Linked DNA regions of Diceros bicornis minor. The protein of the gene in region 3 interacts with the protein of the main gene of each other region in a pairwise test. Links are inferred from orthologs where the notes say so. Each region holds a gene or a part of one and is shown on either strand. Other genes may lie near its edges. The genes, in order: SLC25A46, KIRREL2, FHL3 and HIPK1.

Region 1 (7,445 bases), on a different chromosome or scaffold from region 3:
ATATATCAAATGAACGATAGCTTAAGTATAAACAGTGAGGCTAAAGAAAAATTAACTCTAGCAAAAGGAAAACTTTAATACACAAATTTTGTTTCTATTGACATTAACATCTCAGGTTTAATTATGCAAATAAGGTCATTTTTTCTTGATTAAAATGTGTAAAACAATGAGCTATTCTGACAGGAAATCTAAGCCTTTGTGCAATTCCAACGTTTTTGAAACAGTATTCACTAAAGATCACAAAATCAAAACTGGAAGATTTTCTTATACAAAATGATCATTAATCAAAAATGGTGTTCATTAAATGCTGATTGTAAGTGAAATCCAGATTCTATGTTGCTAAATATCTTATTATAATTCGAATGCTTACGGAAAAGGTTCAATGCACAATTACTTTTTTTGGAGAGGGAGATAAGATTAGATTTTATTTTATTCTTTGGCTAGACACATGAAAATTCTTACAATATTCCTTACAAAATTATTTTGTGATTATAAAATTGAATGACTATTCTCTATCCTTACTGAAAAAAGTTATAGGTTTTAAACAATTTTTTCTGCAAAATATTATTCAATATTTAATCTACTGCTCTAAAGACTCAATCTAAAGAAGCAATACTAATCATTTAATATTATCAATTACATTAAAGAGAAAACTTTAAATAAAAACTTAAATTAAAAATCTTTAGATAAAATATTACCTTGCAAGTCCAATTCCAAATCCAGCAAATCTATTCAACTGTTCTAAAATAGAAGGAATAAGATTACTTATAACCAATACTTAGGTTTACTGTAAAAACAACAAAAAATATTTTCTTTTATTAACATGATATCCATTTAAACTCCAGGTCCCAAAGTCAAATTCTGATGGGGGCCAGGGAGGTGCTTTGAATGAGTCAAGGGCTCTGTAGGGGCTTGTGGCAAGTTGCAAGGTAGAGACTTTTTTCTAAAGGCACAATTGCTCTTCAGCTCCAATTCATTGTTGCCACGCGGGACTGTGGGCCCAGGGTTTCTAAGCTGTGATTTTTCTAAAAAAGATATTCATATTTTTATATAGTATCTTCCAATTTTAAAATACTGGCAACTATTTTAAAAAGCATTAAAACATTGTGTGGGCCAAATCAACATGTCTGTAGGTAGAATCTAAGGGCTATCAGTTTTCAACTTCTGACTACAAACGACTTAACATTTTTTCTGTAGAAGGCTTTGACAGATACTTATACCAACTTTACCTTCCATGTTGTAAAATTAGTCATTCACTGTGACTCGTGGAGAACATCTATGTGAAACCAATAGTCACAAGTAAAACACCTCAAAATTATTAAACTGAAAGAATACTTACGGTAACCAAAAAATGGGTAAATAAAGCCCTCTTCTTCTCTATCTCCCCAAGTTTTAGATATTTTGAGAGCAGTTGCTTAATTAGATCTCTGTGATAGGCTACTGGGTACCAATGTGCTACTCCTGATGGCATTTCTATAGTCCTATTAGTAAAGTTTACAGCTGGAAACATTCCTATGCACATGTCAAAACAGGAAAAAAAATTTTCTCCTTGACTAAAAAACCCAAAATCACAATGGTGAAATATCACAACCCCAGGGGACTAGACATTAAATTTCAGCTATAATACAATATTCACAAGGGATAATTTTTCTCTCTCCCTCTCTTTTCTCACTCCCTTCTCCCATCTCTGCTCTCTCTCATCTCTACTCTTTCAAATGAAGCCATGTCCTCGCTATTCCCTTACAGTCAGAACAAGGCCAGGTAAACATGTCTCTGGGGAAACCATCCGTTCCCTCTTGCCTTGAAAAATATCCAAGTTAGATAGAAGCTTCTTTTGCCCAATAAAGATACTTTCCTCCTTTCAGTTTTTCTCTTTTTGTGTGTACACACCATCCCCTAATATTAACAGAAAATATCAACTGATATTTTCTGGAACGTTAGGAAAGTTTACTATTGTTAACTGTATAAGTCTCTCAGGCTTCTATCTTCCTTGCAAACTTACATTAACTAAACTGCCGTAAAAAAAAAAACAAAAAACAAAACCCGATGTTTTATTAAGAGCTCCTCATTATAACCATCAAAGCATAAATTATGAAAAGATAAAAACATCAGCTTTACTGCCAAAGAAGATAACTCTGTAGCAATCATATATGCATTTTGAATTGTTTAATTTATAACTTTCCAGTACTCTTTTTGGGATCTATAGAAAGAAATTAATTGCAATTGAGCCCAAGCCTGCCTATGCTGAAAAACTTCCCTTACCAGAACACAAAGATACAATTAATTAAATCAAGGAAATAGAACTGTCAGTGAATTAGGTATTGTTCACAGATTCCCAATAAGCAGTAAATAACCCAATTTTCTTCTTTCTTGATTCGGGTCATGGGATGTCATACTCCAAAACCCTTCGAAATTCCTACCACGCACCCGAAGCTAAGGCAGGTGTCTTTTTTGGAGGTGATCCCGGAGGGAACATGTGTGAGAGGAAGAGGGCGGAGGCCCGCTCAGGCGCAGAGGACGAAAGGAGGGCAGAGGGTGTGGCGCGCGATAGGCCGAGAGGCAGCGGAGGCGGGACCCTCGGCGCGGCTTCCGGGGTCCGCAGGCCGCCGCTCCGCCACCCCACCCACCCCTGCCTTGCCCGCCGCGTCCCTCACCGCTGCTCTGGCCCGGCACGCCGCCGCTGCCGGGAAGCGGTTCCTCGGCGGGGTCCTCGAGCGGGGTGGAGGGGGCGGGCACGCCGTAGGGCGGGCTCTTCTCGCCCCAGTGCAGGTTGCGGCTCCCCGGGATGTCTGGGGGAGTGGTCACCCAGTGGCTCAGGTCCGAGGCGGTGCTGTAGGACCTTGCAGGGAAAGCGCCCCCAAAGCCCTGCTCATCCCGGGCACCACCCCGATAGCCCAAGCCATCGAATCCGTCCGGGCGCCGCGGATGCATCGCACACGGGGCAGGATGACGCGAGCCCACCCGGAGCCAACCGCCACTGGGGCCACGGCGACCTCGGGCCACGCAGCTTCTCCTCCACCGCCGCTGCAGCCGCCGCCGCCGCCGCCTCCGGGGAAATTGACAACCGGAAGTCACGTTGCAAACCCGGACGTCCACGGAGCACGTGATCGAGGTTTCTTCCGGTGGCCATTAGCGACACGGTTGCTAGGGAGACGTGGCGGTAACCTAGGGCCAAATCTGAAAACTGTCGCCGTGAGGGAGGAGGTGGACGATGGCTGCAGAGTTAATGGAACACATTACCAAAGAGATGCCAAAAGGGAACTGGGGTGGGAGGTGCGGCCTGGATGAGAGGAGGTCGAATAATGATGTTTCATTGAGGGAGATAACGCGTCGCTGGAGCTGACTCGCTGAGATCTCAGCCAGAGATGCCCCGCCCCACACAAAGGCCCCAGACCCGGGTCTTCTGTTTCCTCGCTGGGCTGGCTAGTGCCTCTCCTACCACAAGGGAGCTATTAGAGGTTAGAGGTGCGGGGTGTTGGCTCCATCTGACTTTGCCTCCCGCACTTAGTGTTTTGGGTAAAATCTATTGAGAGATCTGGTGCGGCCCAGTGAACGCAAAGGTGCTATGGGTGGCTAGAGCAAGCGTTAGAAAACGTCGGGGAGAAAAGCGCCCCTCTTCCCCTCAGTTCCCGCGCTCCCCCCACGAATAAAAAGTACCCGCCGGGATTTAGGAACTAAGCATTTTGCTTTTCTAAGGCCACAAAACAACTATAAATAGTTTTGTGTAGTTTTCTGTCTGGTGCATCTAAATCACTCAGGATATTTAAATCCCAAGCGATATCGTTCAAAATGGAGACCCTAGCTGAAAAATTAAGAGGACTCCTGAAGAGAGTCCCCTACTACCTGTTTGCGTCAGCTCCATGGGCTCTTCGGGCAGAGCCGCTCACCCGAGATCTGATCGAGCCTATCATGGGTTCTTCCTGTGTCCTTTCTTCCCCACCGAAAGCCCAGGATTCCGAGGGCTTTCAGAAGAGAATCCTGATGCCTGACGCACTCTTCTCAGTCTTCCAGACGCGAATGCTTATTCAAAGTGATAATCAACTTCGTCTTGAGTAGATTGACATTTTCAAATTGGGTTCTGATGTGGCTTGGGCAAATGTATTGAATTTCTCCCTTAATAAGTGTTTCCAGTATTACTCGAGTACTAATACCAAATTACTGGGTAACTAAAATCAGTTACTTGGCGTGACAATAAATATTTCTCTGTTCCTTAGGAATGATTGGCTGAAGGATGGGATTGGCTGAGGTTCAAAACTAATTGTTATTAAAAGGAGAAGGAGAAAAAAGCCTCTGTGTGACTGTGTGTGTGTGTATGTGTGTACTTTTAACATAAAAACAATGGCATCTCACAATGTCACATCCACATCAGTGGAGAAACGATGAATTATTAAAAGGAGGACAACTGGGTAGCCAGTTGAGGGGAAGAAACAATAACTGGCCCCCTCACAACTTACTCCCAATAAATTCCAACGGTAATATATTGTATTTTTTCTTTGTTTTTTTGAAGATTGAATATTGGCAGAAAATAATAGGTGAATATTTTTCAAATAGTGGATTGGAAAACTTTCTCTTTTTTTTCTTTTTTCTTTTATTGCAGTAACATTGGTTTATAACATTATATAAATATCAGGTGTACATCATTATATTCCAATTTCTGTGTAAATTACATCATGTTCACCACTAAAAGACTCATTACAATCCATCACCGCACACCTGTGCCTAAACATCCCTTTTGCCCTCCTCTCTCCCCCTTCCCCACTGGTAACCACCAATCCAATATTTTTCTCTATATGATTGTTTGTTGTTTATATCTTCTATTTATGAGTGAGATCATATGGTATTTGACTTTCTCCCTCTGACTTATTTCACTGAGCCTAATACCCTCAAGGTCCATCCATGTTGTCACAAATGACCAGATTTCATCCTTGTTATGGCTGAGTAGTATTCCATTGTGTAGATATACGACCTCTTGTTTACCCATTCATCCCTTGATGGGCATCTAGGTTGCTTCCAAGTCTTGACTATTGTGAATAATACTGCAATGAACACGGGGGTGCATGTATCTTTACACATTGGTGTTTTCACGTTCTTTGGATAAATACCCAGCAGTGGAATAGCTGGATCATATGGTAGTTCTATTCTTAATTTTTTGAGGAATCTCCCTACTGTTTTCCACAGTGGCTGCACCAGTGCACTCCCACCAGCAATGTATAAGAGTTCCCTCTTCTCTACATCCTCTCCAACACTTGTTATTTCCTGTCTTGTTAATTATAACCATTAAGACGGGCGTGAGGTGATATCTCATTGTAGTTTTGATTTGCATTTCCTTGGTATTTAATGATGTTGAACATCTTTTCATGTGCCTGTTGGCTATCTGTATATCTAATTTGGAGAAGGTCTGTTCAGATCTTTTGCCCATTTTTTAGTTGGGTTGTTAGTTTTTTTGTTGTTGAGATGTATGAGTTCTTTATATATTTTAGATAATAACCCCTTATCAGACATATGGTTGCAAATATCTTCTCCCAATTGTTAGGTTGTCTTTTCGTTTTGTTGATGGTTTCCTTTGCTGTGCAGAAGCTTTTTAGTTTGATGTAGTCCCATTTGTTTATTTTTTCTATTGTTTCCCTTGCCTGGTCAGGCATGGTATTTGAAAATATGCTGCTAAGACTGATGTCGAAAAGCACACTGCCTGTGTTTTCTTGTAGAAGTTTCATGGTTTCAGGTCTTACATTCAAGTCTTTAATCCATTTTGTGTTAATTTTTGTGTGTGATCTACTTTCATTCTTTTGCATGTGGTTGTCCAGTTTTTCCAACACCATTTATTGAAGAGACTTTCCTTTCTCCATTGTATGTTCTTGGCTTCCTTGTCGAAAATTAGATGTCCATAGATGTATGGGTTTATTTCTGGGATCTTAATTCTGTTCCATTGATCTGTGTGTCTGTAATTGTGCCACTACCATGCTGTTTTGTACTATAGCTTTGTAGTATATTTTGAAATCAGGGAGTGTGATACCTCCAGCTTTGTTCTTTTTTCTCAGGATTCCTTTGACTATTCAGGGTCTTTTGTTGTTTCATATAAATTTTAGGATTCTTTGTTCTATTTCTGTGAAAAATGCTGTTGGAACTTTGATAGGGATTGCATTGAATTTGTAGATTGCTTTAGGAAGTATGGACATTTTAACTATGTTAATTCTTCCAATCCAAGAGCATGGAATATCTTTCCATTTCTTTGTGTCTTCTTCAATTTCCTTCAACAATGTTTTATAGTTTTCAGTGTACATGTCTTTCACCTCTTTGGTTAAGTTTGTTCCTAGGTATTTTATTCTTTTTGTTGCAATTGTAACTGGGATTGTATTCTTAATTTCTCTTTCTGCTACTTCGTTGTTATTGTCTAGAAACGCAACTGATTTTTATATGTTGATTTTGTGTCCTGCAACTGTACCTTATTCATTTATTATTTCTGAAAGTTTCTTGGTGGATTCTTTAGGGATTTCTATATATAAACTTGTATCATCTTCAAATAGTGACAGCTTCACTTCTTCTTTTACAATTTGGATCCCTTTTATTTCTTTTTCTTGCCTGATTGCTCTGACTAGAACTTCTAATACTATGTTAAATAATAGTGGGGAAAGTGGGCATCCTTCTCCAGTTCCTGTTCTCAGAGGGATAACTTTCAGTTTTTCTCCATTGAGAATGATATTAGCTGTGGGTTTGTCATATATGGCCTTTATCATGTTGAGGTACTTTCCTTCTATACCCATTTTATTCAGAGTTTTTATCATAAATGGATGCTGTCACTTGTCAAATGTTTTTTCTGCATCTATTGAGATGATCATGTGATTTTTATTCTTCATTTTGTTAATGTGGTGTATTGTGTTGATTGATTTGTGGATGTTGAACCATCCCTGCATCCCTGGAATAAATCACATTTGACCATAGTGTATGATCTTTTTAATGTATTGTTCTATTTGATTTGCTAGTATTTTGTTGAGGATTTTTGCATAGATGTTCAGTGATATTGGCCTATAATTTTCTTTCTTGTGTTGTCCTTGTCTGGTTTTGGTATCAGGATAATGTTGGCTTTGTAAAATGAGTTAGGAAACTTCCCCTCTTCCTCAATTTTTTTGGAAGAGTTTGAGAAGGATAGCTGTTATGTCTTCTTTGAATGTTTGTTATAATTCACTAGGGAAGCCATTTGGTCCTGAACTTTTATTTTGGGGAGGTTTTTGATTACTGTTTTGATCTCCTTACTGTTGATTGGTCTATTCAAATTCTCTATTTCTTCTTGATTCAGTTTTAGAAGGTTGTATGATTCTAAGAACTTATCCATTTCTTCTAGATTGTCCAATTTGTTAGCATATAGCTTTTCATAGTATTGTCTTACAATCTTTTGTATTTCTGAGGTGTCCGCTGTAATTTCTCCTCTTTCATTTCTGATTTTATTT
Region 2 (7,875 bases), on a different chromosome or scaffold from region 3:
AGCCAGCCCATCCTTAGTCCACTGAACCAGCCCCCAGTATGCGCCCAGGGCACAGGGCAGCCGGGCCTCGTCCCCCAGCAGTACCACCAGGTCGTTCGGCTGTTGCAGGAAGTGGGGTGACCCGCCTAGGAGAATGGGGGGCAGCACAGCTGAGCTTAGCACATTCACGAGATCCCTCATTCAGGACCCGGGAGTCTGGTCCCCAGCCCCCTCTTCCCTCAGACCCGGAAGCCCAGGCTCCCAGAGTTCTCCTCCCTCAGCGCCATGCACCCCAGTAGAGCGGCAGCTGGAAACAATCCTCCCCCATATTTACTCGCCCCCCACCCCCGGCCCCGTGCGGTACCTGCACGCCCTCTGAGGCAGAAAAAGAGGAGGAGGGCGGGAACCAGCATCCTGAGTATATGGCCCCCAAGATGCAGCGGACTTTTTGCACTGGCTTCCCTGCCAACTCCTTCCTTGGCAGCACACCTCCCACCTCTCGGCCTTGAGCCCCCTTCGCGCCCGACTCTTCGCCCCAGGCTAGAGGCACCCCGTCTGTGGCCTGAAGTTTCCGAAGTCAGCTCCGCCGCAGGCTCTGAGGCGCTGAAGCGCCGGCCAGTCCCGCGCGCCGGGTCTGGGAGAGACCCCGGGAGGGCCGGGTCCCGCTCGCCCCGCCCCGGCCCGCCCCGCCCCCGGGAGACCCGCCGTCTTCCCATTGAGAAGCTCCCGCGGCCGCGGCGCGGATGAATGGGGGCATGCAGGGCGGGGTGCCCCCGGCGTGCCGGCGCCCCAGCCCAACTGGGGTCTGGGAGCCGGAACACCTGGGTCGAAGGAGGGGGTCCCGGCTGGGTTGGACACCTGCATCCTGCCGGGGTTGGGGGGGCCAGGGGTGAGGAGGAGGGAGGGCAGGGAGTGGAAGAAACTTGCTCAGCCCCGGGCCTGGAGGGACAGCGCTGAGTGGAAACGGAGCTATAAATGGGAGCTCCTGGGGCCTCGCTAGTTTCCGCGCGCTGGAGAGGCGGAGCCTGGGGCTCCCCTGGGCCTGCGGGTCAGGAAGAGGGCACCAGGGGGCTTGGGGGGCAGCTGGGACCCCCGAGAAGAGGGGGCGTTCAGCTCTCCCCGCCCCCAAACCCCTCCTCAAAATATCCCTCTGCCTGCCTTGTTACCGCTGCAAACTAAAGCACGTCCTAGGATCCAGGAATCCAGGCCCCCAGCCCCTCCTTTCGCAAGACCCTGCAGTCCGGGCTCAGCCCCTCGCCCCACTCGGCCGCGGTTGCCCGGCGACGGCTGGGCGGCGCGGTGCCGGGCTGGGGGCAGGCGCGGAGGCTGGGAACCGCGCAGCTTGTCCTGACGGCTGCTGCCGCCCAGCTGGGGCGTTCCCACGCTGCAGGCCTGCCGGTGCGCTGCGCAGCTGGCCAGGCAGGTGGGCGGGACCCCGAGCCCACTGAGCGGGAACTGGGGGCCTGGGACTCTGGGTCTGACCTTCCTGAGCCTGTAGGGACTGGGGGTGCACACTCAGGGTCTCCGTCATTCCTGAGCTCAGATTCTTGCGTCCCTAAATGGCAGGGGCTTGGACTCCCAGGATTCTAGACTGGGGTTTAGACCTCTCTTGACTGAGAAGCTAATGGCCTGAATTCCGAGTTTCTGACGAGCCGGGGACTCCACTAGGTCCCCTGCCTGTAGCAGGGTGCAATTGGGAGAGGAAGACAGGAGGTCAGAAAATCTGGTCTTAAGTCTTAGAGTTGGGTGGATTTAACCACCAGTCTCTCTCCCACCCCCACACAGGCCCGGGAGGATTTGAAAATCAGCAGACAGTGAACATCTGCCCTAAGTCCTGTGTGTATGGGGGGTAGGGTTGGAGGCCTGAACTCCTGGGTCTTCAGGGAGAAGGGGCTGCAGGCCTGGACTCCTGAGTCTGCTAGGGATGGGTCCTGGGGGCCCAGACTTCTAGGATTGTGGTCCTGAACTCCTGCTTTCTGTTTTGGGGATTCAGTGCCTGGATTTTGAAATAGGATGATGAGCTTGGGGCCAGGACTCCTGAATCTTGGGGAGGAAGTCAGGTAGTTAGGCTGTTTTTCCAGACACCTGACATCGCTTCCCCTTCCTGGCTCTCTGGAGCCACAGACATGGAGCCTGAAGTCCCAGGAGCATCCAGAGGATGAAAACAGCCAAGGTAGAGGGTGGAAGGTTTGTGCTAATTAAAGATCCCAGCAGCTGACAGCTCTACGCCCTGGCCTCGGGGGACACCATCTGGTGAGGGCCCCTACGACAGAACCTCCAGCTCTGCATCCAGCCCATTCCCCAGGAGGTGTGGGGGCAGTGGGAGAGGGAATGTGGGAGGAGGGGAAGGAGTCAATAATGGGAGGGGAGGAGAAAGACTAAAGGGAGCATCAAGGATGGAGCTGTGGGGGCTCAGGCCAGATGCCTCATCTTGTTCCTGGAGGAGGACCAGATGGGGGGTTGAGGGGGGAGAGAGAGAGAAAGCGAGCAGTTCCAATTCCTGCAGGAGATAAGCAGGCAGAAGAAGCTTATCCCCTGTGAGCGCGTATGTGCACACTGGGGTGGGGAAGGCAGGCCAACCAGCATATGGTTATCAAATTCAAAGACGTGACCATCAGAAGAGATGGAGTAACAAACAAAAGAAAGAGGCACAGTCAAAGGTTGACTGAGAACAACTATTGAACTTCTGGTGTGTGTGAGAGAGAGAGTATGGAGTGGGGGGGAGAGATAAAGATGAGAACAGAGACAGAAAGACGGAAAAACAGACACATAGAGGCAGATATAGAGACAGTGAAATGGTTAGAAGTTGGTGGAGATGAAAACACCTAGTGGAGAGAGAGAGAGGGAGAGAAAGACACTGAGACAGAGAGGAGAGTCTCAAAGAGACGGAGAAAGATAGAAAGATAAATCGAGATGGGTAGAGGGAGGAAGAGAGACAGAGACACAGAAGAGGAAAGAAGAGACAGGAGAGATGGAGGGAAGCTACAAGAAACGAACTCACCAGTTCTTGCCAAAGGGCTCCCACACTGGGCTCATCTCTATACCCAGAACTAGTGCTGGGGGTCTGGACCCTGCCTTTCACTCTGCCCCACTCTGACTGCCCTGCACCTGGCACACTTACTCCTTAGACACTCTTACACACTCACACACTCTGCACACCCTTTCACGGATCACAATTCACTCTCACCCTCCCCATGCTCACACACACGCTCACACACTCACATGCACTTTACACACACGTGCATACAGGTATCTGCACTCTCCCAGTCTCTCACACACACTCTTGCACACTCCCCAGCAGAGATCTCTGATGTCTCTAAGGGGCTGATGTCTACTCAGGGAAGGAAGGGACTTGCCAAGTCCATGTACCAGGGCAGGGAAGAGCCGGGGAGTCCTCCCCCATGCTGGGCCCAGCTCTCTGTCCCCCATGCTGAGCTGGGACCGCCTGGGTCTGACTGCTCCCCCTTGTCCCTGGCCCCGGCCAGGCCCTTGGGGTCGTGGGGGCTAGGGAGGCACCGAGGAATGTGCCTGGCATGTGCTGACAGTGGATTTCATGTTCCAGCTGGGCCGGGAGGAGCCTGCTGGGCAGATGCCTGGAGCTGGGGACTCGGGAGGGCGCCTGGGGGAGGGAGCAGTGAGAGATCAAGCCTGGTCCCAGAACAGGGCCCGACTCAGCCACTGACCATGTCGGCCTCGTCGCTCTCCTGGGCTCTGGGGTCTGCCCGACTCTGAGCAGCGGGTCCTCCCTGAGGGGCTGTGATGGTGAGAGGAGAGCAGGGGTGGGGGTGGCAGGAGAGAGGAAAGAGAAACAGAGACTGACAAGGAGGGAGACAGACACAGAGGGAGAGAGAGGGAGAGTGCCTTAGACAGGGAGAGAGAGAGAGAGAGAGAAAGACAGGGCGGGAGGTGGGAGAGTGGAGGGTACTTAGGGCAGGGAGAGAGAGATAGACAGACAGACAGAGGGAGAGAGGGAGAGAAGGAGAGAGACTCAGGGGAAGACAAAAACAGAGAGAGAGAAGAGACAGACGGAAAAAGAGAGAGCAAGAGAAAAGCGAGAGACAGAGACAGAGAGAGAGGGACCCAGAGACAGACAGAGGCAGACGCAGGAGGCAGGCAGTGGGCACTGTGGGGCCACAGGAAGAGGACCTGGGATGGCCCTGAGGATCCCCATCAGCGCTCCCCTGCTCCTCGTGGGGCTGCTGGCCACAGGTGAGTGGGATCCTGGCCTGTGACCGAGCGCCAAGTGGCCCTCATTTCCCACCTACGTTCTCCAGACAGACCCTCTGCCCTCTCTTGCTGACCCCACTGTGTCCCCAGGCCTGGCGCAGTTGCCAATCCCTGCCTCCACCCCCCGAGGCTTCTGGGTTCTGCCTGAAAACACGACGGTGGTGGAGGGGGCCGCTGCGGAGCTGCGGTGTGGGGTCAGCGCCCCTGGCAGTGCAGTGCAGTGGGCCAAAGACGGGCTGCTGCTCGGCCCCGATCGCAGAATCCCGGGCTTCCCGCGGTACCGCCTGGAAGGGGACCCCACTAGAGGTAAGGGGTCAGAGCGTGAGACCCTGGGCCACCAGCAGAGGCCGACCGCGGCCCCGAACCTTGGGTCCCCCCTGCAGGGGAATTCCACCTACGCATTGAAGCATGTGACCTCAGCGACGACGCAGAGTACGAGTGCCAGGTCGGCCGCTCAGAGACAGGCCCCGAGCTCGTGTCTCCTAGAGTGACTCTCTCTGTGCTAGGTATGGGTGAGAGCCCCCCAGGACCCATGAGTCTGGACCTCCAGCCCTCTCCTGCCCCAGGCTCCAGGAGTCCAAGCCCTCAGCCCTCCTTCCTCAGACCTGGGGTCCAGGACCCATTTCACGAGCAATAAGCCCCCAAACCCTCTCGAGGCGGCAGCTTAACCCAGACCCTTTCTCACCAGTGCCCCCCAAGGTGCTTCAGCTGACCCCCGAGGCAGGGAGCACGGTCACGTGGGTGGCTGGGCAGGAGTACGAGGTCAGCTGTGTGTCTGGGGATGCAAAGCCAGCACCCGACATCACTTTCCTCCGGAGTGAGTGTGGGTGAATTTGTGGGGCCAATGTGAAGCCCTGGAGTGGGTGGGAGGGGGTGTGTCTCTGCCCAGTGCCCTCCTAGGGGCCCCAGAATACATGACATTCCTGAGCTGGGGATGCAGGAGCAGGCTTGGGGAGATGCCGAGGTCAGTGTGGGACCTGGTGGATGGGAGGGGACATCCAGGGAGAAACACCCAGGAGACGGCAGGACTGCTGGTCTGGGGCTCAGGGGAGAGGCTGAGGCTCCAGACAGAGATATGGGTGTCATTGTTGGTGCAGAAACAAGGAGCTGAGGTGGTGATGGTGCGGGTGATACAACCCAGTAAGGAGGGGAGGGGAGGGAGAGGCCCAGGCCCCAGTCCCGAGGACTCCAGTGTTCAGGGAGGCCTGAGGGAGGCCTGAGGAGGCAGGAGGGAATGGAGTTAGTGCTTTTCCCCCAGAACCAGGAGGGAGCAGGCAGTGTGTTCACCCTGAGGACTTCAGGCCATGCTCCCCAAGATCTATGTTGGGGAGAACCTGGCACCCCTCCAACCTTCTTGTTGCCCAAAGGTGGACAAATAATTCCAGACATCTCTGCTAACGTGAATGCGGGGTCCCAGGAGAAACTCTTCACCACGGAGGCCACAGCCAGGTATGGGAGTCGGGGCGCCCTCTCCTCCATCCTGACCCACAAATTTCTCCATGAAAACCCCACATCCCAAGGATTCAAGCATGGAAACCTGGGTCAGGTATGAACAACTGGGACCCAGTTCTTCACCCTGACACTCCAAAACTTCTTTATGGGAACCTCAGTTCCAGGGTATCAAGCACAAAGATTTTGGCCAAGTGTGGGCCTCCAGGACCCCAGTTCTCACTGATGACCCCCTAATCTCTTCTATGGAACTCCAGATCCTAGAGGAAATCAGCAGGGAGATTTAGACCGGGCGTGGGGACCTGGGATCCCCATCTCTTCACCTTGTCTCCCTAAATTTCAGATGATGTGTCTGACTCCAGAACCCCAATTTCTCACCTAGGGTGACACCTCAGAGCTTGGATAATGGGCAGTTACTGGTCTGTGAGGGGTCCAGCCCAGCTTTGGACACCCCTATCAAGGTCTCAGTCACTATGAATGTTTTGTGTAAGTGGGAACTGAGTCAGCCGTGGGCACTGGGGATGCAGAGAAGAATTGGGGGAACTGGGGAGCACAGGGATTATGGAAGATTTGGGTTCTCATGGAGAAATGTGGGGGTTCAGAGGCAGGTTGTGGGGTCTGGAAAGAATGGATGGGCTCCCCAGGCCCACTGAGTGACTGTTGCTGCCCAGTCCCCCCAGGACCCCCTGTCATTGAGTGGCCAGGCCTGGATGAGGGGCATGTGCGGGCAGGGCAGACCTTGGAGCTGCTGTGCATGGCCCGAGGGGGCAATCCGCCAGCGACACTGCAGTGGCTGAAGGTGAGGGCAGAGACAGGTGTGGGGGTGGGGGGAAGGGCGGGGGCCAGGAGCTGGCCCTGAGCTGACCCAGGCCTGTCCTTGTCTCCAGAATGGCCAGCCCATGTCCACAGCGTGGGGCACGGAGCACGCTCACTCGGTGGCCCGCAGCTTGCTAGTGATGATCATACGGCCAGAAGACCACGGGGTGAGGCTCAGCTGTGAGGCCCACAACAGCGTATCTCCAGGGATCCAGGAACGTGGGGTTACACTACAGGTCACCTGTGAGTCCTGGTGCAGCTGCCCATCTGTCAGTCCATGCCCCGGAGAACCATATGTTTGTGGCCCCAAATCATGCTTGTCTGATGCCAAATACCTTGACATCTGTCCCCAGTCCCTCATCTGTCTGGGCTGGTCTGTGAGGAATCCAGCCCAGCTTGGCGTCTCTCCTCTGTCCATTATCTTGCAGTTCCCCCCAGCGCCATTACCATCCTGGGATCTGCATCCCAGTCTGAGAACAAGAACGTGACGCTCTCCTGCATCACCAAGTCCAGTCGCCCTCGGGTTCTCCTGCGATGGTGGCTGGGCTGGCGGCAACTGCTGACCACAGAGGAGACGGTCACGGACGTGAGGCGGGAGCCGAGCTCCTGGGTCTGAGGGAGGAGGGAGCTGAGGGCATGACTCCTGGATCTGGGAGAGGAGGGGTCTGTCATCCTGGATGCCTTGGTCCTTGGGGAGCATGGACTGGGGTCCGGGCCTCTTGGGTCTGACATGGAGGGATGGAGATGCTTCATATGTCCCTGCTGTGGTCTGGGGTGGACCCAGACCTTTGGTACCATGGATAGGGGTGCCCTAGTCCCCAAGTCTGAAGCTGGCTCCCTGCCAGGGCCTGCATGGTGGCCACATCTCCATGTCCAACCTGACATTCCTGGTGCGACGAGAGGACAATGGTCTGACCCTTACATGTGAGGCCTTCAGTGAGGCCTTTACCAAGGAGACCTTCAAGAAGTCGCTTGTTCTGAATGTGAAATGTGAGCCCTCACCCATGCCCAGGGGTGCCCATGCCTTAGAGACCACACCCTCAGGCCTGAGCCTAGAGAGAAAAGCCCCTCTTCCTGGCTCTCCCCACAGATCCTGCCCAGAAGCTGTGGATCGAGGGGCCGCCTGTGGGGCAGCGCCTCCGGGCTGGGACCCGGGTGAGGCTGGTGTGTTTGGCTATTGGAGGGAACCCAGACCCCTCCCTCACCTGGTTGAAGGTGGGTGTCAAGCAAGGGCTGTGGGGTCGCCAGGAAAGTGGGAAAGGATGAAACCTCTCTCTTGGGAAAGAGAGTCTTGGGAAATCTTGGAAAAACCTGAATTTCATGAAAAATACTGGAGATTTAGAGTTTAGGCAGGAAATTGGAAAAGACACAAACGCCATGAGAATTAAATGGAATCCTAGGAAA
Region 3 (7,945 bases):
AGTGCAGGGACTTCTGGGGGTGGCGGCTATGCTGTAAGGTGGAGGGTACCCCTCCTTCTCAGTCCGCTCCCTGCCACTCAGGCCCGGGGTTTCCTCTGGCCCAACATCTAAGGATTGCCTGGGCTGTCAGCCACTGGGCAGCAGGGGGCCGCACAGGTGGAGTGTGGCCATGTGTCCATCCAGGAGTGCCCTGGGCCTTTTCCTTCCTTCCTGGCTTGGCTCAAAGCAGCCGCCACCTTCCCAGGCCCAGGCTAGCCCTGGGTCCGCCCCCTGGGAGGCAGTCACCACTCTGGGACAGGGGCACCCCAAATAGGGTATGGGCGTGGCTTGTTTCCTTCCCAGAATCCCCTAGTCCCCCTAGTCTGTCCAGCTGGGCTCTAGTGAGGACAGAGTGAAGGGCACTATCAAGGCCCACCTGTCTCTGCCCATCCCCCGCCCCTCCCCCTATCCCTGGCAAGGCTGGGGGACTGGAGGGAGCCAGTCTTGTATTCCTTCATGGCTGGTGGTGGGGTGAGGGGAGACTGCTCAGTCTGCCAGATGGCTCCCAGCCCCTGCCCCCACCAACACACACACACACACACACTCCTACACCTGACTTAGACACACACATTTGGCACCTCCTAGAGCTCAGACTAGTGGGATAAATGGCTGTGGGCATGTGGTGTGTAGACGCTCAAGCTGGTAAATATAAAGCTGGGCGATCTTGGGCAAATCACTTAAGCTCTCTGAGCCTATTTTCCCATCTAATACTACCTCCTAAGGTAGTTGTCAGGCTTAAATGAGATAATACTTGGAAAGCGCTTGGCAGATAGTAAGTTGTCAGTAAATAGTAGCTATTAGTGTTTTTACTATCAGCCCCTCATTCATATTGGGGTCAGACAACAGTTTCTCAGCCAGGCCTGGGTCAGGGAGCTGCCCTGGCATTTGACATGGACATTCTCAGTGTAGGCCCAGGGAGAGAACAAAGAGGGAACCCCCTAGTTCTGCTGGGGGTACTGAAGAGGCCCAGGCCATGGGGTTCGCTGAGACCAGATGGGCCAGCCTGACTTCAGTGAGCATAACTGTGAGGCCCCTCACACAGGTACACAGGTGTACACACCTGCATGCTGCTTTGCCTCTCAGAAAGTGCATTCCCACCCACCGTCTCATCAGATCTCACAAAAGGCCGGCAGGACAGTATATTATCTCCATTGTACAGCTGAGCACAGAAGCTAGGGACAGGGCAGGGGCATGCCCAAGGTCACGCAGATATCAGAGAGCCCAGGTCCCCTGCTTCCCAGCCTGGAGTCCTTTCCTGTCTCTCTTTCCCTAGAAATGCTGCAGTGGTGGTGGAGGGGGTGGTCACCATTTAAGAGCAGGGGGAAAGGAGATGTTGGGTGACATCACTAGCACAGGAGCCTGGCTCTTCTCCCCAGCTGCCAGCCCTGCGATTGGAAGACACCCAGAAGCCTTTCCAATTACCCATGCCAACTGCTCAACCCTTTTGCCCCCCTCCACTTCCCACTGTCCAGGAGGACCCTGGCCAGGCCCCACAGCTGTGAGTCAGGATCAGAACAGACCCCTCCCCCAGGTCCCAGGAGTCGACAGGAGACTTCAGGGGAGAAATCCAAATCCCCCCCCCCATCCCCTGCCACCAGGCACCAACCCCAAACTCTCCACTCTCCCCTCCCCTCCCCCCATGGGGCCTGGGATTTGGAGCAGTTTAGGGGAAGGGGGATGGGAAGCAGGATCCAGCAGCTGCTCTGGGGACAGGAGAGGAACAGTTCATTCACCCCAGGTCTCCCAGGGCTGAAGCAGCACGTCCAAGATTTGAGTTTAAAAATAAGTTGGGGTTGTCTTGGTACACACGTGGGGCTCCTCCTTGACTGCAATCTTACTGTCTCAGGTCCTCTCCTCATGGGGACTCAGTGGGCCCAGAGTTTCCGTTTCCCCACATCCTTGCCTCCACAGCCCTCATCTCAGGGTCTGTCTTGGAAGCTGTCAGTGCGCCTCCATTAACCTCTGTCTTTTGAGTCTAGCTCTGGTCCTCAGCACGTCTCTGTATCCTGCACACTTCAGCAGATGTCTCTACGCTGTGGGTGTCTCTGTACCTCTGACTGGCTATCTCCCAACAGCCCACCTCTGGATTTCTACCTCTGAACACCCAAGTCTGCCTCTCAGTGTCTCTATGGGGCGGAATGTCTTGGTCCCCACCCCACCCCCCTTCTCTACCACTCAACAGCATCTCTATGCCCGAGAGTCTGTCTCCAGTCTCTGAATGTCTCCAAAGGCCTCACAGAGCCTGATTCACCACGAGGCTAAGGAAGCTTAGGCTTCAGGGCCCCTCACTTGCCCAGGACCCTCGAAGGCCCTGGGAAGCATCCTAGGACGTGTTCACTGGCGTCACTGTATGCTTTTTCTTAAAATGCTCCACAAAACCTGGGTCCGTCCCTATGCCTCGGTCTGTCTCTTGGGGAGTGTACGGCCAAGTTTCTGTCCCCGTTTTCGGGTATCTCTGCAGCTACCACTCGAAGCCTGTCGTCCCTTCTTTCCCTGTCTCGGGTTCTCGCTCCTCTGGGCTTTCTGGGAGCCTCAGTTTCTCGAACCCTCCCAGACTCTCTCTCGACTCTGGCTTTTCCATTTCAAACTTGGCCCCCTCCTCCGCCCCACTCTCGAAGCAGCCCCCGCCCCGCCGGGCGACGGGCAGCGGTGCGGTCCGGGGGGCGCCCTCTGGGGCTCAGCGTGATCCCGGCGCCCGCGGCCGGCCCCGGGCGGGGGGCAGCGGGCGGGGGCCGCCGCCACTCCCTCCCCGGCCCGAGGGCGGGGGCCGGGCGCTGGGATTCGGAGCCGGGGTCGGCGGGGAGCTCACCTCGACGCGGGCGGCAGGAGCGGGGCGAGGCGCTCGCGCGGGTGGGGCGGGGACCCCGGGGCCGCGTCCCTGGGCGGCTCCTACCTGCGGGCCGGGCCAAGCGGGGGCCGGACGAGCTGCCGGCGAGGCTGCAGGCTGCACACGGACTGTGTGGGCGACTGGGAGCCCGGCCCCAACCCCTCCCCGAGGAAGTGAGCGCGGGAGCCCGCCCCGCCCGGACCCCGCCCCCGGCCGCCCCTGCCCTCAGGGTGCGGACCCCGCCCCCGGCCCCCCATCCCGGAGGCCGGGGGCCAGCCCCCGCCCCCACCTCCCGTTTAGACTGGAGCCCGCCCCAGCCTCCCCGCTCCAGCCCAGCCTAACCTGGCTCTCCCAACCTTCCTGGGCGGCCAGGACCCCGCCCCTGTTCCCTCCCTGCAGCTTTTGCCGTCCTCTCTCCCTCCCCTCTCCCCCTTCCCCCCACAGCTGCAAGCGGGAGACTGCTGTATTCGTTTCAGGCAAGGGGTACAGGACCCAGCCGACCAAGGTCTATTTGAGAACAGAGGGTCCTCATGCCCTCTTCGTGCCCCCACCCCCCCATTCTACCCCCAGGGGTCACACTCAGCCCGAGTTTGTAAAGGAGGCCTTATCCAGCCTGGAGGAGGGGGTGGTTTTGACTCTACTGTCATGGCCCTGTCATGGGGACCAAGGTGTTCTCTGGAAACACAGAGTGAAGAGAGGACCCCTCTCCCTCCCATAGGGCCTTGACCTTCAAAGGGCTTTATTCTACAATTCTGAGTGGCAAACAGAAGTAACCACCTCCTCACCTCCAGCTGCATCCTTGGACAGAGAAGTCCTGCCTCATTTCCACTGTGCCCAGGAATAGTTTTGACCTTTAAGGCCCAGGGGACACCCTAATCCTTGGCCCCATGATTTTTGGGCTTCTTAGGGAGGGGTGTGAGGAGTGTGTGTGTGTATGGATGGGGTGTTGCAGGGGTGGTGGAGGGAAGTGGAGGGAACCCCTCCTCCCCCACCTCTACATTTTCCAACCCTCTGGCTTCCTCCCCGTGCCTGGGAGGGAGGACTGGCGCCTGCCAGGGACACAGGCCCCCTCCAGGTCCTTGAGGCCAGCCCCCTTGGGATCCTCAGGCTTGTCACTAGGAATAAATAGCCTCGATCTGGAAGCGGGGGGGGGGGGGGGGGGGGGGGGGGGGTGTAGGAGGAGGCTCTACTGTGCTGTTTGCAAAACAAACTAACCCTGGAAATAACCTCTGAGTCTAGAGTAGAGATTCAGGGGCCCACAGAGGCTCTCCCATCCCCCAGACTGGGTCTAGCCACGCTCTCAGAGCAGAGTGTCAGTCCATCCCAGGCTGGAACTCCTGAGCACCCTCCTCCCATCTCTGAATCACATGCTGCCTTCCCAGGTCCAAAGTCACCCTAGAGGCCAAGTTTCCTTTCAAAGTAACTAACTGCTTGTTTATAATGGTTGTTGCAGCTCCCTAAACTGTAAGTGCCATGAGGGCAGCGACTGGGTCCTTCCTGTTCACCACCACATGTCCAGTACCTACTCCAATGTCTGGTACATAACAAATATCTGATGAATGAATGAATAGCAGGCACTACTTTAGTTTGGACCCCCACCCCCCAGTTTGGACCACAGGCACCCACTATCTGGAGTCCAGGGAGTGAGCAGCCATCCTGTGAGCTCCTAGCCCTGGGAAGCGCAGGGAAGACTCTGGTGGGAGTAGATGGCAAGAAGGGGTCCGCTCTGGGGCGAGGGGAGGGCAAAGGTGAGCAGCCTTCAGAAAGAGAGGGGTTATGAGTGAGCAAGGAAGGTGCTGGACCAAAGTAGAGTTAGGGTCTCTGGTTTTTACTCACAGCTTAAATTTGCTGAACAGCCTTAGTAAGAGCCAATTATTTCCTGAATTCTTACTTTGCACCAGTCCCTGTCTAAGCACTTTACATATATTAATGCACTTGATTATCCAATGACTTTATGAAATATGTATTTTTAATCCCCATTTTAAGGATGAGAAAATGGAGGCGCACAGAGAGTAAGTAACGGCCAAGGGTGACAGCTAATAATGGCAAAGCCTAGATTCAAATCCAGACAAACAAATGTCAAAGCTCCTTAGGCCAAAAAAAGAGCTTAACCATTATGCTCTACAGCCTCTGTAGTCAGTTCACCTCTTTAACCTTCAGTCTCCTCATCTGTTAAGAGTGGTTGACCCCTTGGGCCAGCCCTGGTGGCCTAGTGGTTAAGTTCGGCACACTCCACTTCTGCGGCCCGGGTTCGGTTCCTGGGTGTGGACTTAACACCACTCATCTGTCAGTGGCCGTGCTGTGATGGCGACCCACATACAAAAAGAGGAAGATCGGCAACAGATGTTAGCTCATGGCGAATCTTCTTTAGCAGGAAAAAAAAAAAAAAAAGAAAGAAAATAATCAAAGTGAACAGAAGTGAGGACAATTATAATTAAAAAAAAAAAAAGGGTGGTGGACTCCTGTCTCCCAGCATTCTTGTGAGGACTGATGAGAGCACACAGTAGGTATTCAACACGTGGGACTCTCCCTCCCTACCTCCCCCCTTTCAGGGTCAAGTGTTAAGCTTCTGCTATTGCACTTGGAGTCTGGAGGCCAGAGAAAGTTAGGAGAATTCTGATGTGGCCCAGCGTGGGGGAGGGAGACTGGTGTAGGGCAGGGCCTGTGTCTTTAGCTCCCCAGTGGGCTCACATTTCCCTGCTTGCTCTATTTCCGTTGACCCCAGAGGACGTGCCCCAGAGAGGTCTAGGGATCAGCCACATGGACTCCCTGTTCCTGTTCCCTGTCACTCCTCCCCCCTCTCCAGGAACAGGTGTGTCTGAGGCGGGGCTGGAAGCAAAGACTAAGTGCTGGATGACTGGCCTTGAGTAAGTGGGATCTGATTATCCCTTCACCCACCAGGAGGTCCCCATACACCCTTCCTTAGCTTGTGGTGGAAGGGGGCTTCCAACTGTTCTCTCACCTCGAAAGAGTTTTCAAAAGGAGGCCCTGGGTGACAACTCACAGGCCTCTCATGGTTTCCTCTGGGTGCTGAATCACTCTCCGATGCTTGTAACCACAAGCCCTCCTTCCTCCAGTGTGAAAACTTCCTTCCTTCTCTGGGTATATTGCTCACTCTTACCCGTTGGGCTGCCTAGAGCCCCTGCAGGCCTCATGGCTTAGCAGATTCCCACGTTCAGATTGCCCAGAAACACTTTCATCGTGATCCCAAGTCTGGCAATGAGTTTGTGGGCACAGAGGATGAAATAAGTGACTTCTACAGCATGAGTGTGGGGGGTAGAAGGAGAACTCACATGTGGTTAAATGCCAACTACATGCAGGGCACTGTGCTAAGTGCTAGTTCTTACCTCCTTTAGGCCTCACAAAAGCCATAGGAGGTGGTGGTCATTATTATCACCATTTTACAGAGTAGGACACAGGCTCAGAGAGTTTGACAATGTGGCCCCAAATCACAAGCTGATAGGTGGTTGGTGTCCAATTTAAATCCAGGGCTGACTCCAACGTTCCGCCCTCCAGTGTGCAGAGCTGCCTTCTCCTGGGTATGCCCTCACTCAATGCTTTCCTCAGGGAAAGTGGCAAGAGTGACTGGGGCTGCCACCTGGTCACCCTGCTTGATGGCTGGGCTTCTTAATCCAGATGAGGCTGGAAAGGTGGGCATGGGCCAGATCATGAAAGGTCTTATCTTTCAATGGTTAAGTGACAAATGAGATGGAATTTTGTTAATGCACGTGGCCCTAGTCGGGCTGGGCTCAGACTCAGAAGCTGGAAAAAACTTTTTTTTTTTTTAATAATTTTATTTATTTATTTTTTCCCCCAAAGCCCCAGTAGATAGCTCTATGTCATAGCTGCACATCCTTCTAGTTGCTGTATGTGGGAGCCAGCCTCACCATGGCCGGAGAAGCAGTGTGTCAGTGCGCGCCTGGGATCCGAACCCGGGCCGCCAGCAGCAGAGCGCACGCACCCAACCACTAAGCCACGGGGCCGGCCCCTGGAAAAAACTTTTTACATGGCAGATCTCAGCTACTTTTGTGCCTACTTGTCTCCTGGACTGGCACCTCTGGGGAATGAGGAGAGAATTTCCCCAGAGCTCCTCAGCTGGAGTTTTGGGCCCTATCATAGGAAATGGGTGCAACTGCAGAACTTGCTGAAGGTTAGTTTCACGTGGTGGAAAAGAAACCAAATGCCTCTGGAATGCTCTTCTGTGCTCAACCTTCTCTCTATCCTTAGAGGTAGGTTTAGTAATAAAAAAAATAATAGCTCCAATTGATTGTGAACTTGCTAAGGGGTGAACGCAGCATTAGGCACTTTAAATATATTATTTCATTTAGTCCTCACAACAATCCTGTGGGTATAGTATTATCATTACCTCCATTTTACAGATGGGGAGACCGAGGCTCAGCAAAGCTCACTGCCTTGGCTGGTAGCAGTTAGGATGGTAACACACCTCCATGTTTCTTGGTCCTAATCATTACATTATACTGTCTCTGACACTCAGTCTGTCAGTCAGCCATTCCCTTGAGGGTGTGAGGGACAGAAGTTTATAACTTCACAGATGTTAAGTCATGATATGACTCTTCCATTCAACTGTGGGGCCCGTTGATGGCCCTATGAGGCAAGCAGTGCATGCTATTATCCTCTTTTTATGGATGAGAAAAACGATGCTCATGAAAGTCAAGTGACCTGTCAAAAGTCACACAGCCAGCAAGTGGTAGAGCCAGATATGGTTTCAAGGTCTCTTGCCTCTCCACAGAGTGCTTTCTGGTACACTGTAAAATTCTCATGGCTCTTAGGTTTAAAGGCGCCTCGTCAACGCGGCAAGGGCAGTGTCGTAGGTGACTGCGCATGCGCACAAACCAACCCCCAGCTCAGCCTAACAGCAGCGCCAGCCACGTGTGCCCAGGTGCCAACGCGCAGCCGAGCGCGAAGGCGAGGTCTCAATACGTGGGCAAGCTCTGACGAATAAGACCCGGTTCTTGTAAAGTCACGAGACTAGACCTAGGGAACTACACTTCCCAGAAGCAGCCGGTGGTGGCCGCCTTTGCTAGAGGGCGTATTTCCGGAGAAGTAGGCGCCGGATAG
Region 4 (7,992 bases), on a different chromosome or scaffold from region 3:
TTTTACTAAATCATATCTCTTTTCCTCTTGGGAACACAGCTAGATTACATCATCTCCTAACCTCTCTGCAGTTAGCAGCATCCATGTTCCTGAGTTCCCACCAACATAATGTGTGCAGAAGAGATGTATGTGTTTGCTACCTCCAGGCCTGGCCTATAAAAACTTCCCACACCCATCATCCATATTTCTTCTTTCCTTTATTTCTGGCCAGATGCAAAGCATCCAGTGGAGAAATCCAAGGCTCTAAGGAATGGTGAAGCTGCAAGAATCTAGATGGAAGACGCCTGAATCCCTGAATGACCTCATTGAGCAGAGCAACCCTCTCATCCCTGGTACTTAGCTCTAGCACCTACAATAGTCTGACAATGTGGACAAGCAAGAAAACTTAATTGTGTTAAGCCATTGAGATGTGGAGGTTGTTTGCCATAGCAGTTAGCTAATCCTTACTAGTCATTGAACAGGCAATGAACAATGTCTGCCACAGTCTCCTACCCAAGCTTTCTTTGCTAAAGATACCCTAAAGGAGTCTTGGAAAGAAAAATCCTAGGGACACCTCAGTCTTGCAACCTTGGGGGAAGGGACGAGAAGGGAAATTGTCCATTCGGGGTTGGCATTCACAGCCAAGGCCACAAGCATCCTATAAGAAATCATTGTGGGCCTGGTTTCCAGATCTTGTTTTCTAATATAATTCCTCATAAAAGGAACCAGGACTCCTCAGAGAAATGGCTATTCTAGGACTGGGGGAGGGAAACTACAAAATGAGTCTGAAACATCTTATTATGGGGACATGCCAAAAAAAAAAGAGGAACTTGAAAAGGCACTGACTAAACCTGGAAAATTTCAGCACCCAAATAATTAAAGAAAGTAAGGAATTATAAACCATTGAAAAACATAGTAATCCATGAGTCTGTATCACTAATAACTAGATAACTAAATTAATTTATTAATTAATAAGAGATAAGGGAGGATTGGTACAGGCAAGAATCATCAATAGATGCTAAATCTAGGGGGACATGTCTAATGAGGAGCAGGATATTTGCATGGTCTAAGGTGTCTCCAAACAGATTGCTTATTACAAGGAAAAAAATAATAAAATATACTGTGGAGAAGTCAGACGCCTCAACAAGGTGTTCAAAATTATTATCACCCAGTGAGAGACACACACATCATCTGACTTTGGGTATGATATCCTGAGAAGGACACAACATCACTTTTGTAGTATTCTGGCTAGAAATGGATAACCTGAATCTAATAATGAATAAACATGAGACAAACATAAATGACAAACATCAAATGATGAACATTCTATTATTTAAAAAAAAAAAAGGGCCTGTACAGTCATGCCCTCGTTAACAGGGATACATACTGAGAAATGCATCTTTAGGAGATTTCGTCGTTGTATGAACACCATAGAGGATACTTACACAAACCTAGATGGTATAGCCTACTACACACCTAGGCTATACGGTACTAATCTTACAGGACCACCGTCATATATGCCGTCTGTTGTTGACCAAAATGTTATGTCGTACATGACTGTATTTTTAAAAATAGCAAAGACAGTATTCTTAAAAATATCCAGAAAAGCTAAAGAACTGTTTCAGATTAAATGAGACTAAAGAGATATGACAATTAAGTGCAAAATATGATCCTAAACTGGATCTTGTACTGGAAGGGAAAAAAATGGTAAGAAGAACATTATTGGATTAATTGACAAAATTTGGAATGTAAATGGTAGATCAAAGTATTATATCAATGTTAAGTTTCCTGGAATTGATAATTGTGTATATTGTGTATGTAACAGAAGGTACTTATTCTTAACACATTCAAATATTAAGGGATAAGGGTCATGATGTATGCAATTTACTTTCAAATGGCCAGAAAAAAATGTGTGTGTATGTATGTGTTATCTGTCTACCTATATGAGAATGCAAATATTAAAACAAAAGGGGCAAAATGCTAATAAGTGAATCTGAGTGAAGGGTATATGGGTGCCCTTTTTATTATTCTTGCAACTTTTCTATACATTTGAAATTATTTCCAAATAAAAAGTTTTTTGGAGCCTAGATTAAAAGAATCATTGAGGATTCCTTCTTATAGGTTCAAAGGATTTTTCCATGTTCTGCCTCCTATCCTTTACTTCAAATCTTCACTCTCATGTGGTTTTCCCAGTTTTACAACTGTTGGCTTCTACCTGAATTCTCTTTTTCCTCCTGGCCCCTTGGATTCACTGCTTGTTTGGATGGTTTGCCTAGGTTTGTGACTCAGCCTCTCTCAAGACACAGCCTTTGGTGAGCTTCTCCTCCTTGGCCTTAAGTACTGCAGCTCCTGAGCAAGTCACTTCTTGTCTGCAACAATGAATCTAGGCTCTAGGCCCTAGGGGGATGTCATACCCTAGATGAGACTTCAATGCTTCCAACTAGCAACAGCTCCATCCCCCTCTCCAGCTGCTCTGACTTTGTCTGGGAGGAGATAGTTCACATATCTGCCTCCCTCTCTCCGTGTTCCCTGCTGGATCAAACCCTCATCATAGTTTCCTAGTTAGGCTCTCTTTCTCTAGTCTTCACCCACTCTAGCCAGCTATCCACCTCCCTGCTGCCACCAGATCTCTCTTTAAGCATAGATTCCCTCATAATACCTGTCGGATCAAACCTCTAATAGCTCTTCATTGCCTTTCAAAAATCTAACTCAATCTACTTTATGAATTCCATATCCTGCCACTTCTCTGCTGAACTGTAAGCTCTTTCAGGGGATGGACCATGCCTTTTCTTCTTTGTATCTTTAACTTCTAATATAGTGCCTGGCACACAGAAGATACTCAATAGATATTTGCTGAATGGACAAATGAACTCCAGCTACATTAAACTCTGAAACTTCTTTGACCATACCACGCTCAAATAGTGCCTTCTCTGAATGTGTTCCCTGACTCCGTCATTCAAATCTTATATATGTCCCCATGCTTTTTACTCCTCACTAGACTGTAAGCTCTCTGAGCGAAAAGACCAAGTCTTTTTCATCTTGCATCTCACCCAGTGTCTAGGAGAGTGCCTGGTGTAGAGCAGGCACACAAGTAGTTTGTTGGATGACAAATGAATGATATCAGAGAGAGGAAACTACTGGATTTTAAGAAGTCTTGTGGTGAGATAGACTGAGGAAATGACCTAAGAACAATGAAAACAGAGATCAACAAGTATAAATAAATAAGGTACAAATAAGTAAATTAAGTAGTCAGATGGTGACGCAGAACTGAACAATTACAGTAAAGTGGGGGTCAATCAGGAAAGGCTCCCTAAAGGTGAATTTTGAGATGTATTTGAAAAGAGGAAAGAAAGATAATTTGGACAAGTAGAAGCTTAGCAGCATGTCATGGAGTTAGGTTGAACCAAGGCATGGGAAGCGATGTGTGTGTTTCAAGTCTGCTTTTGGAGCAGGATCTGTTCTACCCCAGAACTCAAGTTCTGCCTTTTTCCTGGCTCCCCACACAGGCCTACTGGCCCACTCTATATGTCTTGATGTTTCCCAGGTCACCCCGATGTAGGTCTCTGTGTTCGCTAAGTTTTTGTGAAAATAAACAAAACTACCCTGTGGGATTGAACACTTTTGCTAACCCTAGTCCTCTAGGGAAATAAACTTCCCTGTGCCCAATAAAATAGAACTGCTCCCAGTGTTGCTAAGCCAGGCGAGAAACCCAAAGGTAGTACAACCACTTCAGCACATCTTTACAAAAATTACCTTTTTGTGAGGAGATGGGGATCCAGAGGTCAAGGATGTATAATGAATGAGATCTGAGAAATACAGTTTGATATCAGAATCTTGTCTCAGCCACATCTGCCCCCCCTCCTCAAAGAGTACATGCAAAAACCTATGGTGCTGGACAGTCACTTTTAGGGCTCAGATCATTGCTGCCTCCAGCACTTGTGGGATAGAAAAAATAGATAGATTATACCACCTGTCTCCCTAAAAATGTCCCCCACTTTAGGAATTAGAACATTTTACACCGCAGGAGGTATATCTGAAGTCCTACAGAATCTCTTGACCTTGGGAGATGGCAACTGTCCTTTTAGTAGGGTAATCTAGTTGTCACGCAGTGTCCACTTTTTTTCAGAATGTTATGTGCCCAATGCATTCCATTTCCTGAATATCCAGCCTTACTATCTCCTGGTGGAGTCAAGAAAATTATGGTAGCATTTGCTCACTGCATGTTTTGAGGGGTTGGGTTCAGAGCACAGCTACTCTTTCTCACCTCTTAATGCAAACACAGGTTTCCAAGGCAGCAATGGGTGAGCCACTAAGGGGCACTTATGTTCTTGGAGGCTTACAGATCCCATACACGGATGTCACTCTGCTAGAACGTCTCGACATGGCAACGAAACATTAAAGCCTAAACTGAGGTAATTCCTCAACCAGTAGGGGGGCTTCCCAGGTAGGCACTGCCTCCTCGCGCGCTGCCCAATCTCTGGGGGTGTCACACCAGACTGTGGTGATGTCACACTGGCTGGACCCCCTACCGCCACCAAGCACCTTTAAATCACCGCGGAGTCTGCCGCGCGGAGGGGTCGGGGAATCTCGCCCCCGCACTCGGTCCAGGCTGGCTCCCCACGGAGGGACCCCCATCCCCACCCCCACGCTCACCCCCACTCCCACTCCCACTCCCACCAGTACTATGCGGTAGTTCTCATCCGTCCGCTCCTCGGCACTTCCGCCTCAGTAGGTGTCATGGCGCGGGGCGGGTGAAGAGTTCCCGCGAGGCGGGGCCGGCCGGATGGGGGCGGCCGCTCGGCGCTCAGCTCATCGGGTCTGGCGACAACGGCGGCTGCGGAGCGAGGGGCCCGGAGGTGGCCCCGGGCGGCAGCGGGAGGCCGAGGCGGGAGCGCGCGGGGCTGAGGCGGCGGCGGCGGCAAGAGGCCGGGCGGCGGAGCGGGCGGGAGGCTGAGGGGGCTCCCCCCGCGGGACGGGCGCGGGGACGGCTCCGGGGGGCGGGGGCCGGGGCCCGGGCCGGCTCGTGCGGGGGGTATGATGACCCGGCGGCGGGGCCCAGGATCTCGTCTCCTCCGCCGCCTCCTCACGGCAGCCCCAGCTCGCGGCTGAGAACCAGACACACCGGCGGTGAGTGGGGACGGGCGGGAAGGGGTCTCGGCAGGGAGCGACCTCCTATCCGCTCCCCGAGGCGGGGCCGGACCGGCCCGGCCTGCGGGGGGCGCTTCCCTCAGCTGGCCCCCATCCGGACCCGGCGCCGCCTCCTGCGGCCCGGCCCCTCACGGCCGCCGAGGGGATTGCGTTCCCAGGAAAACCAGGGAGGCTCCGGGCTCGTTTTCGGGGCAACTCCCCCTGTCTCCTGCCACTTCTCTCCTGGGCGTGTTGTTGTCCTCAAATGACAGGAGGCCGCCTTGCGTCTCCTCATCCGGCCGGTTTTTTTCCCGGCTGTCGTGGCAGGGTCTCAATGTGTGGCTTGTGCGTGTGTATTTCACAGCTCTGCTTATCACCATGGTTTTGGGTGATCTGTGCTGTTTGGGACCAGGAAGCGGTGTCTGGAAAGGACGGAGGTGGTGGGGTGGGTGTGGGAGCTTTCCTATTCTCTCCGCGAACGCTCTGTAATCGTGGTTTGTAATTTGTAATGGTGGAGACTCCATGGGACCAGCCCACCTAATGTATATCTGTGCAAGGCACATCTAGAGGTCTGGCTTGGGGGGAAACTTTTGCTGTCTGTCGCCACTTTCCCAAAGCTTTCGTTAAAAAAAAAAGAAAAAAGGTGAGGAAACAACCAAAACTCTTGGGTAAGGCCTGCACTGTTCACGGATCTGTGAGAAAGAGGCCCTTTTTTGTGCCTAGCAACCAAGACCTCGGAGCTCTGGTTTAACCTCCCGTTTGTTGTGGTGACAAACCGTGAGCATTGGCCTGTGTTTATGCTGGGCGCGCTTTCTTTCCTGTTTAGGTGGGGGAAGGGAGGAGGGACTAGAGAAGGGAAAAAACAACCCCAAGCTCCAATATGTCTTTTCTCCACTTAAACCACTGACTCAGTTGTAGAGAAACTCCTTTTGAGGCAGCCCTAGATGCTTTTTCTTAGTGACACTTTGGGAATTTTCAGTAATTGCATCAAACTGTTCATTTCAACCATAGACTCTTCTGCCCAGTCTATCCTTTATCTTGTTTCCTAGTAACTCGGATGAAAACAGCAGCGTGGCTTCCTGCTCCTGATGAAGTGGGGTTAAATTAAGTTGCTGATGCCCTCAGCAAAACCTACAATTTTGCTCTTGTTTGTGTAAAGCTATTTTTGATTCCTGGTCTGTAGTGTTGTTGTTTTTTTTAAAGATTATAGAGAATGCAAATTATTACCAGCTTTTTTTCATATATAGGTCTAAAGCCTTCTGTAAAACATTTAAAAAATCTAACAAGTCCTTTTACCTAATAGTTGTTATTCAGCTGGTGATTTTGGATCTTTACATGTAATTATCTCAGGGTTCTGTGTTATAATACTGGTATGATGAAGTCTATCATTGACTTTAAGATACTGTGCCTGGCTTGAAGGATATTTTGGTAAAGTACTTGTGGTTGGAACTGGAGGCAGCCAAGCCAGTAAAGCATCTGAGAGGTAAAACGGTGAATGAGATTTTGTAAACATACTGGCTCTGGTTGGTAAGTAGGACTTTTGCTGGTGATATGTTTATGAATACTTTATATATCTTTGGACGTTGTAGTTTTATGGTTTGTAGAGCAAATTGATTGGTAGATTGTAGAGCAAATTGATTTTTTTCCTAAAAGAAAAAGAAGATAATCTCAAAATTCTCTGGAAAATAGAATTCTTTCATTCGTGGTTTTGTTTTCATCTGCACAGCTCAGTCAGTGGTTGTTGTTGGTAGAAATCAGTGAGCCTGCCTTGTAAACTTCTTACACTTAGAACTTGTGCAACTTGTTGTTAGTTGTATATTGTAACTGGTCCTTTTGTAATTCGAAGTAATTTTGCAAACATGAACTTCCTGATCTACTCTTTTATTTTCATTTTCATAACTATATAAAGCAATCCGTACTTTTTTTAGGATTTTTTTTTTTTTTTGAGTTACAGTTATTAATTCCTCCAAGTTGCTTCCCTTAGATTTCAGGCCATTCTGAACACAAGCCATGAAAATCATTTTTCCTTCAGGTACCACTTCAGCAATTACTGATTTGCTCTTTGGTTCCTTTTTTGGTTTTTGTTTCTAATCTCTCAGCTCCCTAAATGCCTTATGTATTTTTGTAGAGCATAATTTGGCACTAAAAAAAAAATTTACATCCTGTTTTTATATTTTTTTCTTGCGTGTCATATCACTTGAGCAACATTGTAAGCTCTCTGAAGATAGGGAAACTTATGCCTATTTCTTTTGGGTTCTTTAAGGGCACCTGGTATAGTGCTGTCCCCAGAGAGCTTAACGGAAGAGAATCAGAAGACCTGAATTCTTTGCCAGCATCGCCACTCATTAGCTCTGTATAAAACTTGTTTGGCTTTCTTGGGTCTCCTTTTTCTCATCTTGGAATTAGGGAGTTTTGGAGAGTCTTTTAAGGTCCGTTTTAGCTATAACAATCTCTGTACTTTTTTGCCAGTGTCTTCTGCTCCAAGCAAATACATCTTCTTAATCTGAACAGTTTTTCATTTTTCCACTTCCCCTGGCATGCTGGGAAAAGTTATCTCACTCATCTGAAAGAACTTCTTCCACCTTCCATATGCCTAATTGTTGTTACCTTACTTAAGTCTTGTTTTCCTTAGTCCTTTGCTGGCTGATCTAAACAGAGGTCTCTCTCAGTGTTTATGTTTTATATTGATTTGTGTGTTGTTAATGTGACATTTTTTTTGTGCTAGAACTCCTCAGGGTATGGTTTTCTTTATTCTAACCTTTTTAGACCTCATAGACTGTCGTGTGCACATACTAAGATAGTACCTTTTTACCAAACACAAAAAGCACCTCCTTTTCTCTTGTTTTGTTGCTATGGATTTGTCATTCCAAATAAATCTGAGAGAGC

The links.
Region 1: the proteins of FHL3 (region 3) and SLC25A46 interact in binary tests that used the Homo sapiens proteins (3 or more experiments, as listed by UniProt). The two-hybrid records come from large-scale screens. The link is inferred for Diceros bicornis minor from reciprocal best matches to the Homo sapiens genes FHL3 and SLC25A46.
Region 2: the proteins of FHL3 (region 3) and KIRREL2 interact in binary tests that used the Homo sapiens proteins (3 or more experiments, as listed by UniProt). The two-hybrid records come from large-scale screens. The link is inferred for Diceros bicornis minor from reciprocal best matches to the Homo sapiens genes FHL3 and KIRREL2.
Region 4: the proteins of FHL3 (region 3) and HIPK1 interact in binary tests that used the Homo sapiens proteins (3 or more experiments, as listed by UniProt). The two-hybrid records come from large-scale screens. The link is inferred for Diceros bicornis minor from reciprocal best matches to the Homo sapiens genes FHL3 and HIPK1.

The regions. Positions count from the first base shown.
Region 1 is NC_080740.1:33,690,333-33,697,777, reverse strand, and holds the start of SLC25A46 (mitochondrial outer membrane protein SLC25A46), read right to left. Parts: upstream 3,016-7,445; 5' UTR 2,932-3,015; coding exon 2,655-2,931; intron 2,568-2,654; exon of another isoform or gene 2,477-2,567; coding exon of another isoform or gene 2,428-2,476; intron 742-2,427; coding exon 699-741; intron 1-698. UniProt on the Homo sapiens protein: Transmembrane protein of the mitochondrial outer membrane that controls mitochondrial organization.
Region 2 is NC_080773.1:8,745,030-8,752,904, forward strand, and holds the start of KIRREL2 (kin of IRRE-like protein 2), read right to left. Parts: upstream 3,016-7,875; coding exon 2,981-3,015; intron 1,472-2,980; coding exon 1,243-1,471; intron 801-1,242; coding exon 344-800; intron 126-343; coding exon 1-125. UniProt on the Homo sapiens protein: May regulate basal insulin secretion.
Region 3 is NC_080752.1:51,939,271-51,947,215, forward strand, and holds the start of FHL3 (four and a half LIM domains protein 3), read right to left. Parts: upstream 3,005-7,945; 5' UTR 2,933-3,004; intron 2,926-2,932; exon of another isoform or gene 2,849-2,925; intron 1-2,848. UniProt on the Homo sapiens protein: Recruited by SOX15 to FOXK1 promoters where it acts as a transcriptional coactivator of FOXK1.
Region 4 is NC_080743.1:46,662,876-46,670,867, forward strand, and holds the start of HIPK1 (homeodomain-interacting protein kinase 1), read left to right. Parts: upstream 1-4,987; 5' UTR 4,988-5,106; intron 5,107-7,992.